Linked DNA regions of Kluyveromyces lactis. The protein of the gene in region 1 interacts with the protein of each later gene in a pairwise test. Links are inferred from orthologs where the notes say so. Each region holds a gene or a part of one and is shown on either strand. Other genes may lie near its edges.

Evidence for each region.
Region 2: the proteins of KLLA0_A01155g (region 1) and TIP41 interact in binary tests that used the Saccharomyces cerevisiae proteins (3 or more experiments, as listed by UniProt). The link is inferred for Kluyveromyces lactis from reciprocal best matches to the Saccharomyces cerevisiae genes SAP155 and TIP41.
Region 3: the proteins of KLLA0_A01155g (region 1) and SIT4 interact in binary tests that used the Saccharomyces cerevisiae proteins (3 or more experiments, as listed by UniProt). The link is inferred for Kluyveromyces lactis from reciprocal best matches to the Saccharomyces cerevisiae genes SAP155 and SIT4.

The regions. Positions count from the first base shown.
Region 1 is NC_006037.1:104,855-109,269, reverse strand, and holds the start of KLLA0_A01155g (SAPS family protein), read left to right. Parts: upstream 1-1,601; coding exon 1,602-4,415. Other genes in the region: KLLA0_A01177g (uncharacterized protein), read right to left, coding at 1-532. UniProt on the Saccharomyces cerevisiae protein: Positive regulator of protein phosphatase SIT4. Involved in directing expression of TOR-repressed genes and in dephosphorylation of NPR1 in response to nutrient starvation. Negatively modulates K(+) efflux of the cell by the Na(+)-K(+)/H(+) antiporter NHA1.
Region 2 is NC_006041.1:554,927-558,088, reverse strand, and holds TIP41 (Tip41p), read left to right. Parts: upstream 1-1,450; coding exon 1,451-2,662; downstream 2,663-3,162. Other genes in the region: STE18 (Ste18p), read left to right, coding at 1-220; ERV2 (flavin-linked sulfhydryl oxidase), read right to left, coding at 358-969; EMC2 (Emc2p), read right to left, coding at 2,816-3,162. UniProt on the Saccharomyces cerevisiae protein: Involved in negative regulation of the TOR signaling pathway in response to type of available nitrogen source. Indirectly activates the PP2A phosphatase SIT4 via interaction with its suppressor TAP42.
Region 3 is NC_006040.1:313,609-316,396, reverse strand, and holds SIT4 (type 2A-related serine/threonine-protein phosphatase SIT4), read left to right. Parts: upstream 1-1,224; coding exon 1,225-2,154; downstream 2,155-2,788. Other genes in the region: THP1 (Thp1p), read left to right, coding at 1-551. UniProt on the Saccharomyces cerevisiae protein: Involved in the dephosphorylation of the large subunit of RNA polymerase II. Is required in late G1 for normal G1 cyclin expression, bud initiation and expression of certain genes that are periodically expressed during late G1.

The DNA.
Region 1 (4,415 bases):
AATACTTGAAGACATGAGTTTCCATGATTTTATATTGAGCCTGTACGGAATAAATTGCATGTTCAAGGAAGGGGTACTTGATCATAGTCTTGTAATACAAATTGATGACAACGGGTTTCACATAGACAGTATACTGGTGGCACAATTGTAGGTACCAACGACAAAGGGAGCTTTCAGCAATAAAGGCATACTTAACCACCCGTGGGTAAACCTTAGTGTAAACCAAACTCAGAGAAGACCGTGAAGTTCTAATTACACTTGGGACAACTTTTTGCTCAACAGTATCCTTCACATGGATAACTGCTGATCCCACACGAGGAACTACCACTGTTTCGTACTTTGCCACAAGCGAGTCGGAGTACTTTATCACTTGTGGGAATCTACCACCTATTATGGCACGGTAATGCTGCGGAGCAGTATATTTGCATATTTGTAATTCTCCAGATGTATAGTTGTCGCATGAGTATCTAACGGACCCAAAGGCAAGTAGCAAGACCAGCAACGCCTTGAGCAACTTTGAAACGAGTCTCATATGGAACCTCAGCCTACTAACACGCTAATAGATCAGTGTCCTTGCTACGACTACTTTCTAACCTGACGGATTAGTGATCTGTAATCAGTACTTTACGAACCATAGCTGGTCTTCCATATTATAAATACAAAATGTTACTGAATGGGGTTGGATGTGTTGTCATTTTGACGATTATGTAAACGTAAAAAAAGATAAACAGAAACAAGAACACAGATTGAGAAAAAAAAAAAAAACAACAAAATCAACGACCAATTCCAAGTCACGTGACAAGAACATCCATTATAATTAGGGAAACGCATGCATTTTGGTTGTTTTCTTGGGTAAAGAAGGAGGAGAAGGAGTGAGAAAACAGCCTCTCACAGATCATTCTTCACGATCCTATAATCGAGCAAGGACTACCACTATGAGAAGGGAACGGCAAGCACACCACAGAGAATAAGCTCGTTTACTGGGTCGCCCCGGTCCAAACTGCTGATACGTATATATTCGGATCTATCCATTGCAAGAGCAAGTAATCTACTTGTGCCTAATTAGTGTTGTGTCGTGTGCCTTTTATTCGTCTTTGGAAATTGGCTTACCTTAGAAAGATGTCCATATTGTACATCATTTGTATGTCAAATGCTTATCGTGTATATAGCAAGGTATGTAGCATGTATATAGGATGTATATATCAATTACAGTATGAGAATATAGTTGGACTATTGCGAATAACTACGGATTCCCGTTATTTTATGCTAAATGTGGATGCCCACCCTTTGGTAGATCCGCGCCCAAAACTACCCATTCTCTATGAAACTGTAGCAGTTCGTTTTCTTATTCGGTTTTGTATTAGATTTTTTTTGGGCATTTTGGAAATTACTAACTTAAATAATTAAGAATTGAATATTAAGAAATATTCTCATTTTGGCATAAAGGAAGCTAGGAAAAAACAGGAGAGGAGAGTAAAGCAAGACGTCAAACCCATATACTCTTTCTCGAACCTTTGAACCCCATAATCTGAAGCTAGCGGACCTCAGCTTGCGTTTTATATCGTGTGTTTTCCTCATTAAAAGAAAGCTAAGCAGCTGTGATGTCGTTCTGGCCGTTCGGACAGAACTTCAATAGTTCCAACATCAATGGAATTTTGGAGGAGTATTTCCATGTTATGCATGGATTGGAGAACCAAACTCAGAAGATAGCTGGATCCAAGAGTAACAACAGTAGTACTGTTGGGACTTTAGGAGCTACTGCCGGTGCAGCAGCTCCCGTGGCAGTTACGGACGATAACGATCTTAATGAGACCAAGACAACAACGACAACCTATAATAATGATACTAAAAGAATTAATGACAATCACGAGAAGAAGGAAAATGCAAAGAAAAAGAAGAGGCAAGGATTTGCAATGGGATTTGAAGACCGGGATAAGGATAGTGATGTGATCATCGGAGACTCAAACGATTCTGATCGTTTGGAGCACAATGTCGATTCTCACACTACTGATTTCATCGATAGTTCCAAGAATACTATTGATACTTCACCAGGAAGCTCGCAGCATAATCCTCGACCTTCTCTAATACCTACTCCTAGACGATTCAACGGTACCAGTGATATTGAATCAACGCCGCTAAAATCAGCTGCCTCTTCCCATCCCGACTCCTTATCCACTACTACAACTTCGTCCAGTTCCGCTTCTCATCTAAGTGACGAAGAAGGACCGATCCCCTTGCAAGCCTTAAGTCATAAGTTCATGGATGAGATCTTGGAAGAAACAGAACTTTTGAACGAACTAACAAGACAAAACAATACCCTTTTGGATTTTGTTTGTTTTGGATATTTTTACACGGAAACTGGTGACAAGGTAGAAAATATTGCATACTTGATCGACCGGTTATTGGATTGCATTGATAAGATAGACGACGATAACGACTCCGCCAATTTGGATACTGTTGGTGGAAATGATAATGTTAACGAGCTTGATGATGATGACAATATCAATGAAGAACATCGCATAGAAAACAGAGACGGCAGTATAAATGATGAAGGCAATAACAACGCTGTACAAAACATTAGAGAGAGTGCTACAATTGGCAGTAACGATAGTGGTAGGGGGGAAACTCACAATCAAGGCGACGATAATGAAGATGAAGATATAGATACATTTGGCAACAGCAAAGGTAGTTTTGAAAATCCACATGAATTTACATCCTCACCTCATGATGACTCCATAATACCTATGTTAGACTCCAAGCTGAAGAAAAAATCGACGTTTCTCAACAAAGCCAATATTATTTCTGAAATATTTGCATTAGATATCTGGCTAATTAGCGAATCTCTCGTGAAAAATACTGAATATTTGAATAAAATTTGGTCCATTTTATACCATCCTAAATTCACCCAAGAGAAATCGCCACTTATTCCAATATTTTTGAAGATAAATCAAAATCTCCTTCTCACAAGACAAGACCAGTATTTAAACTTTATCAGGACAAGAGATAACTTAGTCATTGATATGTTAAAACATATTGATATCTCTCTCTTGATGGATTTTTTCCTCAAAATTGTTGCTACTGATAAACAAGAGGCTCCCACTGGGATTATTGAACTAGTCTCAGAACAAAAACTTATCGACCATTTATTCGCATTTCTTGTCAATGAAAAATATTCAGCAGACATTCAAGCATGTGCAGGAGATTTCATTAAATCAATAATAGCAGTATCTGCTAACGCCCCATTGGATGAAATGTCCATCGGACCCAATGCTTTGACAAGAGAAATTGCATCTGAAAAATGCATTGATTATTTACTAGGTTGTATTATCAACGAAAGAGGACCGGCTTTAATGACTGCAGTATCCATTACTATTGAACTGATAAGAAAAAACAATTCTGATTACGATCAAGTAAACCTTTTGACTACGACTATCAAAAGTCATCCTCCTTCAATGAGAGATCCAGTTTATTTGGGAGTCATGTTGAGAAAATTTTCTGAAAACCTTGTCAATTTGAAGCAGATATTATTCGATATAGAAAATGATGCTAGTATCCCTATAATAAAGAATCAAATGGGAGAAAGTTACAAACCACTTGGATTTGAAAGGTTCAAAGTCGTTGAGCTTATTGCAGAATTATTACATTGTTCTAATATGGGATTAATGAACTCTAAGAAAGCAGAAAGAATAGTAAAAGAACGTGATCAGGTAAGAACGGAACTAGTTCAACAGTTAGAAGACGCATTGACAGACCTCAATATCAAATCAAAATTAACTGCTGATAATCACAATTCTGATTCTCCTACAGAACTGAGTCTTGATGACGATATTGACGAATCCTTCGAAGTCCCTTATGTTAATGATAACCAGAATGCAAAACTTCGGTCCAATCCGACTATTGGTGATTTATTCAAGATTGAACTTTACAATTCTCAACTACTCCCTATCATTATTCAACTTTTCATAAAATATCCATGGAATAACTTCTGGCATAACGTTATATTCGACATAATACAGCAAATTTTCAATGGAAGGATGGATTTTTCATACAATTCATTTTTAGTCTATGCTCTTTTCAGCAACAAAAATGCTGAACGTTTTGCTACAGATAAAACTTTAGATGATGCTCCGATTGATTTCCAAATAACTCGGGATTTGGTATTGCTAGGTTATAGAAACTCGCATAAATTTTACGAGAAACACAATACCACCCTAGGTTTCATGGGTCACCTAGTATTAATTGCTGAGGAAATCGTAAAATTCTCTAAAGTGTACAAAGTTGATTTAATCTCACCGGATATACATGAGGTTTTATTGGATGAAGATTGGGACTTCTACTCAAACGATATTCTCAATGATACAAGAATTATGTATTCAAAAATTTTAGGAGGAGGTGATTATATTGAGGACGGTAAT
Region 2 (3,162 bases), on another chromosome or scaffold:
ATTGAATAATAAATTAAGAAATGAGCTAGCAAGGGAAAGAATGACTGCGTCAAATGCTTGTTTGTCCATAATCGACTATACCTCAACCCATAAGGATTACGCTGTTCCAGAAGTATGGGGTTACCCAATGGTTGGTGAAAACCCATATAATAATACTATGAGGAAGAACAATTTTGCTAGATCTCACGAGGAAACGAGTGCCTGTTGTACCATAATGTGATGATAAAAATATTGCTGCCGTATACTCTCTATGCTTATTAGTTACATATATATTTAGATAAAACGAAATGCGAATGCAACAATATTAGATCTTATTCTTTCAATTGACACATACGGAGGGTAAACGATTCCCTCACTTCATCCCAATTGTTTCTCCTCTTTGTTCAACGTTACTTTGTTCATTTTCAAAGATGGATCGATATTACCGTTCTCGTCAGTGCATCCACAGTCGTAATCTTCTAAGATTGTGTTACAATCGTACCTTGGTTTTTCAAGATGATCGTTCACTAGATTATGAATATGACAGCCCCATAAAGCAGCAGTGGTTCTACTGGCTACTTGTGGTGGGTATTTCTTCAACATCTTGACGAAATGGTAAGAACATTCGCCACATGGATATAACTCCGCATATAGGTAAAGAAATTCACGTAGTTTCGTTTTCTCTTGCTCTGTAGGCTCGTCGGGAAATCTGGCTAAAAGAGTGTGGAAATATTTCCATGAAGCCCGCCCCAAAGCCTTTTTCGCCTCCTGATCAGGCATCTTCGGCATAATCGTACCTGATGCATCATCGTTCTTCGCGTTCGCACTTAGTCCTCCAAACAGATCGGATTTGGTACCACCCAACGATGGTGACCCCTCAATAGGTAGCTGGCTATTAGAAAATGTAAACCATAGCAAGCCTATCATTAGAAGCGTAGTTATTGTAACGATCCGCTGCTTATGCAGTCCTACCTTTAGCTTGATTGACATATCCGTTGTTCAATCTGATCAAGGAAAGTATGCTTTTAGAAATAATAGAGAATAGCAGAGGGATAACAACTCTGTAAGGTGTATGTACGGCTCCTCGGTAGATAACTTTGTTCCCATATTGTTACACTAAGGTGTCAATCACGTATTAATACATTCCTTACTACTTTTACGATCTTCCAATATTTTTCGACTGTAACCTTTTTTCTATTGATATTGAGATTTATAAGAATCAATATTCCAGCATGCAAGACATCTCTTAATTGAAGATTTGTGGTGGAAAGGAAACGTTGCAAAAAGGACTACGATCATTGTTTCAGCCCCTGATAAAACTTCAAACTAATTAATATTCCCACTGGATTACAAGCGTTGAACGTCATTTTGTTCTCACGCTAATAGCCAAGAAAATTTGCATAGGGATTAATTTCACTAGTTTTATTATACGACAGGAATCTGAGCGATCAGGGGAAATACACATGCCAAAATGAGTGATAAGAGTCAGCCTCAGAACAATGCCAGGAACAGAAGATCTCTTGGGAGCGGTATTCCTATGATACAGGTTAACCAGGCTCGTGAAATGTTTCAGGCTACGGTAAGGGCGCGTCACCCCGGCAATCCGCAGCAGCCAAGAGAAACCGAGATACAAAGTTCTATGATGCGCACGACCAATACTACTGTCGGTGGTACCACCACGAACTCAAGTTTCCAAGATACACAGTCGGTTACAGTAGCCACTAGCATGCCCAAACCGAGCTCCAAGCGCTCTCACGAACATGATCATAAGCACACTCATACACACCCACATAGATCGAATAATCCGAATAATCCAAATTGTGGCCATTGCGGTACAGTCATTGTTCCATCCCCTGTAGCCACAATACCAGCGAAAGATGACCCATCTGTAAGTGTAGGTGATTGGACTATCACCACGACGAAGAGGCCTATTCTTTCTAGTGATGAGATCGACGATTGGACTGAGAAATTGAAGTTCCCAATCCCAGAAATGATTTTTGGTCATTCCAGCGTTGAATTGAAGAACACCAAGACTCATTGGTGCATACGATTCAATCCGTTCCATGCACTTAGTCAAGTAAAACTTGGGGATTCTGGGTTAAGAGTGTCATATTCCGAGAAATGGATCAATTCCAAACTTAAGAATAGTCAAGTGACAAACACAGAGGAAGGATTACAATTCGGAAAACATTGGGATTGGTCCTATACGACTTTATACAATGGGACTGTGTCAGAAGATAGTGAATACAAGTTTGTTGTGGATAACCAGTATCAGCTTCCAATAGAAAAATTAACAAGAAGAGATCCCATTTTATTCTATGATGATTTCATTCTATTTGAAGATGAATTGGCAGACAACGGTATCAGTATGCTTTCGATAAAACTTAGGGTAATGGCAGAGAGACTTCTTTTATTATGCAGATTCTTCCTAAGAGTCGATGAGGTCTTGTTTAAAATCATTGATACAAGAATATATGTCGAATTCAATGAGGACCTTGTTGTACGGGAATGGAAATATATGGAGGATGATTACAAGACAGTATTGAATAAATGTAGATTAAATTCAAACGATCCTAAGAAATCTTTGAGAGACAGCAACTGGGTTGCGTCTGTATTACCTTTGAAGGAGCGCGTATGTGAAGTATTGAGGAAAAAAGAAGATATAGAAGAAGTTGTCGAATAAGCACTCACCGCTACTGTCGAATTGACAGCACTTTTGGAAAATTCAAGAAAGAGTTGATTTGCTCATTCATGAATCTACCTATTTAATTATGTTACCCAAAAGGAATAATATACAAATCTCGTAATACATGTGATAATATTATATACACACTATTCAAGTTTCTGAATCCAAAAGGTATCTGGATACGTTAGTGATTTCTCTGTTATCATTATTTTGCTGAAGTTCTTGCAATTTTCTTACAGCTAATTGAGTTAATTCAGGTTTTTTATTCAGTTTCTGAGATGTCTTCAATACAATACCCCAACCTTTCACGTAGGCTTCTGCCAACTCAACAGATCTCAACGCATTTGATAAACTTGATTGCAAAGCAGCTTCAGGGTCAGAATCTGATTGAGACTTCAAGTAATGCAAATAAGCTAATTGACCAAATGCTTCATAACTGAACGGCACCCCAATTATGACTTCTTCCATGCAATATATTGCTTGACGTAGGTCCCCAG
Region 3 (2,788 bases), on another chromosome or scaffold:
TAGTTCCATGTGGTATCATTATCAGCAAGTTGCCAGATTTCAACAAGTTATCTCAATGGGACCCTATCCTAGCACAGAAATACACAGCTCTTGTGATTGCCGTTAAAAACGGAAACTTGAACAGAGTAAACTTCTGGCTTTACGAGAACGAATCGTGGCTGAAATCATCTAAATTGTTGATTGTTCTATTGGAAAAGCTACCCATTATAACGTTCAGATCCCTTTTGCGATCTATTTTCCTATACTACTGTATACCGCGCAATTCAAATAAACTACCATACTCTGTGATAAGACCAATTCTAGCAAAATCCATCGGTTTATATCCACCTGAAATGCCATCGATATATAAAGACAATTACACCGCAGAATCACTTGAAAATATCCTTGTCACACTTTCAATTCAACAATTGTGGAAGGGAAATGTGTTTCCAAGCCTGCAAGTGTGCGTTACGATGAAGACTAACGATATCTCAGTAATCTTCCCTAATATCAATGAAAAGATCGTCTCTAGATTTTCGTTGAACCAGGAAGATTCCTGGCTCGATAAGTAAATGATAGATAATATACATATAGTATGTAAAAATAGATGACACAGCCCCTCCTAACCTGATTCGGGTCCCACTATCATACCCAGTCGTGAAACACTTTTGGAAGACTCAATTTTTACAGACATGTCTATATAGATATAAGAATGCTCTCACATATATCTGTTTGTCTTCCAGGTCACATTCTGCAAAAAAAAGTAAGAAATTGAAGAGAAGTTGAAATTTTGTTGAAGTTTCCATTATTTTTGTAAAAGGACTGATGATTACAACAGAAAACAAAGAGAGAAGGAAACATCCTTATAGCTAACTACTTTGTTAACAAGCTTTTAGCCATCAACAAAGAGTAGTGATATAGGGCTGTTCTTTGTTTGAGCTATTGAATTTTCCTATAGTGAGTGAGTGTTTCTTGTTGAAAAGAAAAGGTGCAAGAAATACTTCCAAACACAGGTTTTAAGCTTGTTGTGGTTTTTATTTACAAGAACGCTAATCATAATCACTTTACAAGAAATTCAGAAGGAATTTATCCCAATTTTTTCACAGGTAAGGACTGGGTTTTATTATAATTATTATTTTTTTTATTGACCTTTGAACTTTATCTTCCCTTGTAAAGGTTAATTTGCCATTGCATAAGTTCATCTATCTATAGAGCGTTTTGTCTCCGGAGTGCTAAAATATCACAATGTCAGATAATGGGCCAGATTTGTGGCTTGAGAAGATCAAGAAATGTCAGGCTTTGACGGAGTCTGAGATGAAACAGCTATGCGAGATGATGAAGGAACTCTTAATGGAAGAATCGAATATTCAGCCGGTTCAATCGCCGGTGACTGTTTGTGGTGATATTCACGGACAATTTCATGACCTTTTAGAACTATTCAGAACTGCTGGTGGGTTTCCTGATCAAGTAAACTATATTTTTCTTGGTGACTATGTAGATCGTGGTTATTACAGTTTGGAGACGTTCACACTTCTTATGTGTTTGAAAGTGAAATATCCTTCCAGAATTACTTTGGTTAGAGGAAATCATGAGTCGAGGCAAATTACACAAGTTTATGGGTTTTATGAGGAATGTTTAAATAAGTATGGTTCCACAACGGTTTGGAAGTATTGTTGTCAAGTGTTTGATTTCTTAACTTTGGCAGCTATTATTGACGGGAAAATTTTATGTGTGCATGGTGGTTTGTCTCCCGAGATTAGAATGCTTGATCAGATCAGAGTTCTATCGAGAGCCCAAGAAGTTCCTCATGAAGGTGGCTTCTCCGATTTGTTATGGAGTGACCCCGACAACGTGGAAGCATGGCAAGTCTCACCTCGTGGTGCCGGATGGTTGTTCGGTAGCAAAGTCTCACGAGAATTTAATCATGTGAATGGCCTAAGCCTAATCGCAAGAGCTCACCAGCTAGTTATGGAAGGATTCAAATACCATTTTCCGGAGAAGGATGTTGTAACGGTATGGTCTGCACCTAATTATTGTTATCGATGTGGTAATGTGGCGAGTGTCATGAAAGTCGAAGATGATTTAGATCCAACATTCAAAATTTTTTCCGCTGTACCTGACGATTACATCCAAGAAACAAACAATAATAACCAAAGAGGTGGATATTTCTTATAGAGCGACATTGCAGCGGCCTTTTTGTCTGTATAATCTTCTATGCGAACTTACATCGGACTAAACATTCTTTTTCTCCTTCTATTTGAGAATTCCTTCTTAATATACTGTACACTAGAAATCAAACATTTACCTAACTTTTACGAATTCAAAGATATCCATCAGGAATTAGGATTTAATTGGAAAGTGGACTATAAACAACGTAATTTTTAATGGGTTGAAATCATTACTGAGAAACCAACCCCCCTGAAACTTAAATAGTCTAAAACCCGGTAATATATATAGATATATGTATTAATGATAACGTTTAAACTGCCATTATGTCTTTCACGAGGCTTCACAGAGTCCTGATCTAATCCAAACTAGATCATCGAATATATTCAATTTGATATGGAATCATATATAGAATATCGTGTGTAGAATAGGTTTTTTTTTTTCTTACCAGTATCTCTTCAGCTCCAAAGCTGCATTGAAATATTTAAAATTTCAAGAGCATTTTATACAAAAAATGTAGCCATATGATTGCACTTATAACTTTCATAAATGATGTGATACCAACAAAACGCAGCATTTTGGTTACTCACATCGGGAATAAACGGTTTAACAATAACAAGGATTGCTAATACAGTATCAACTA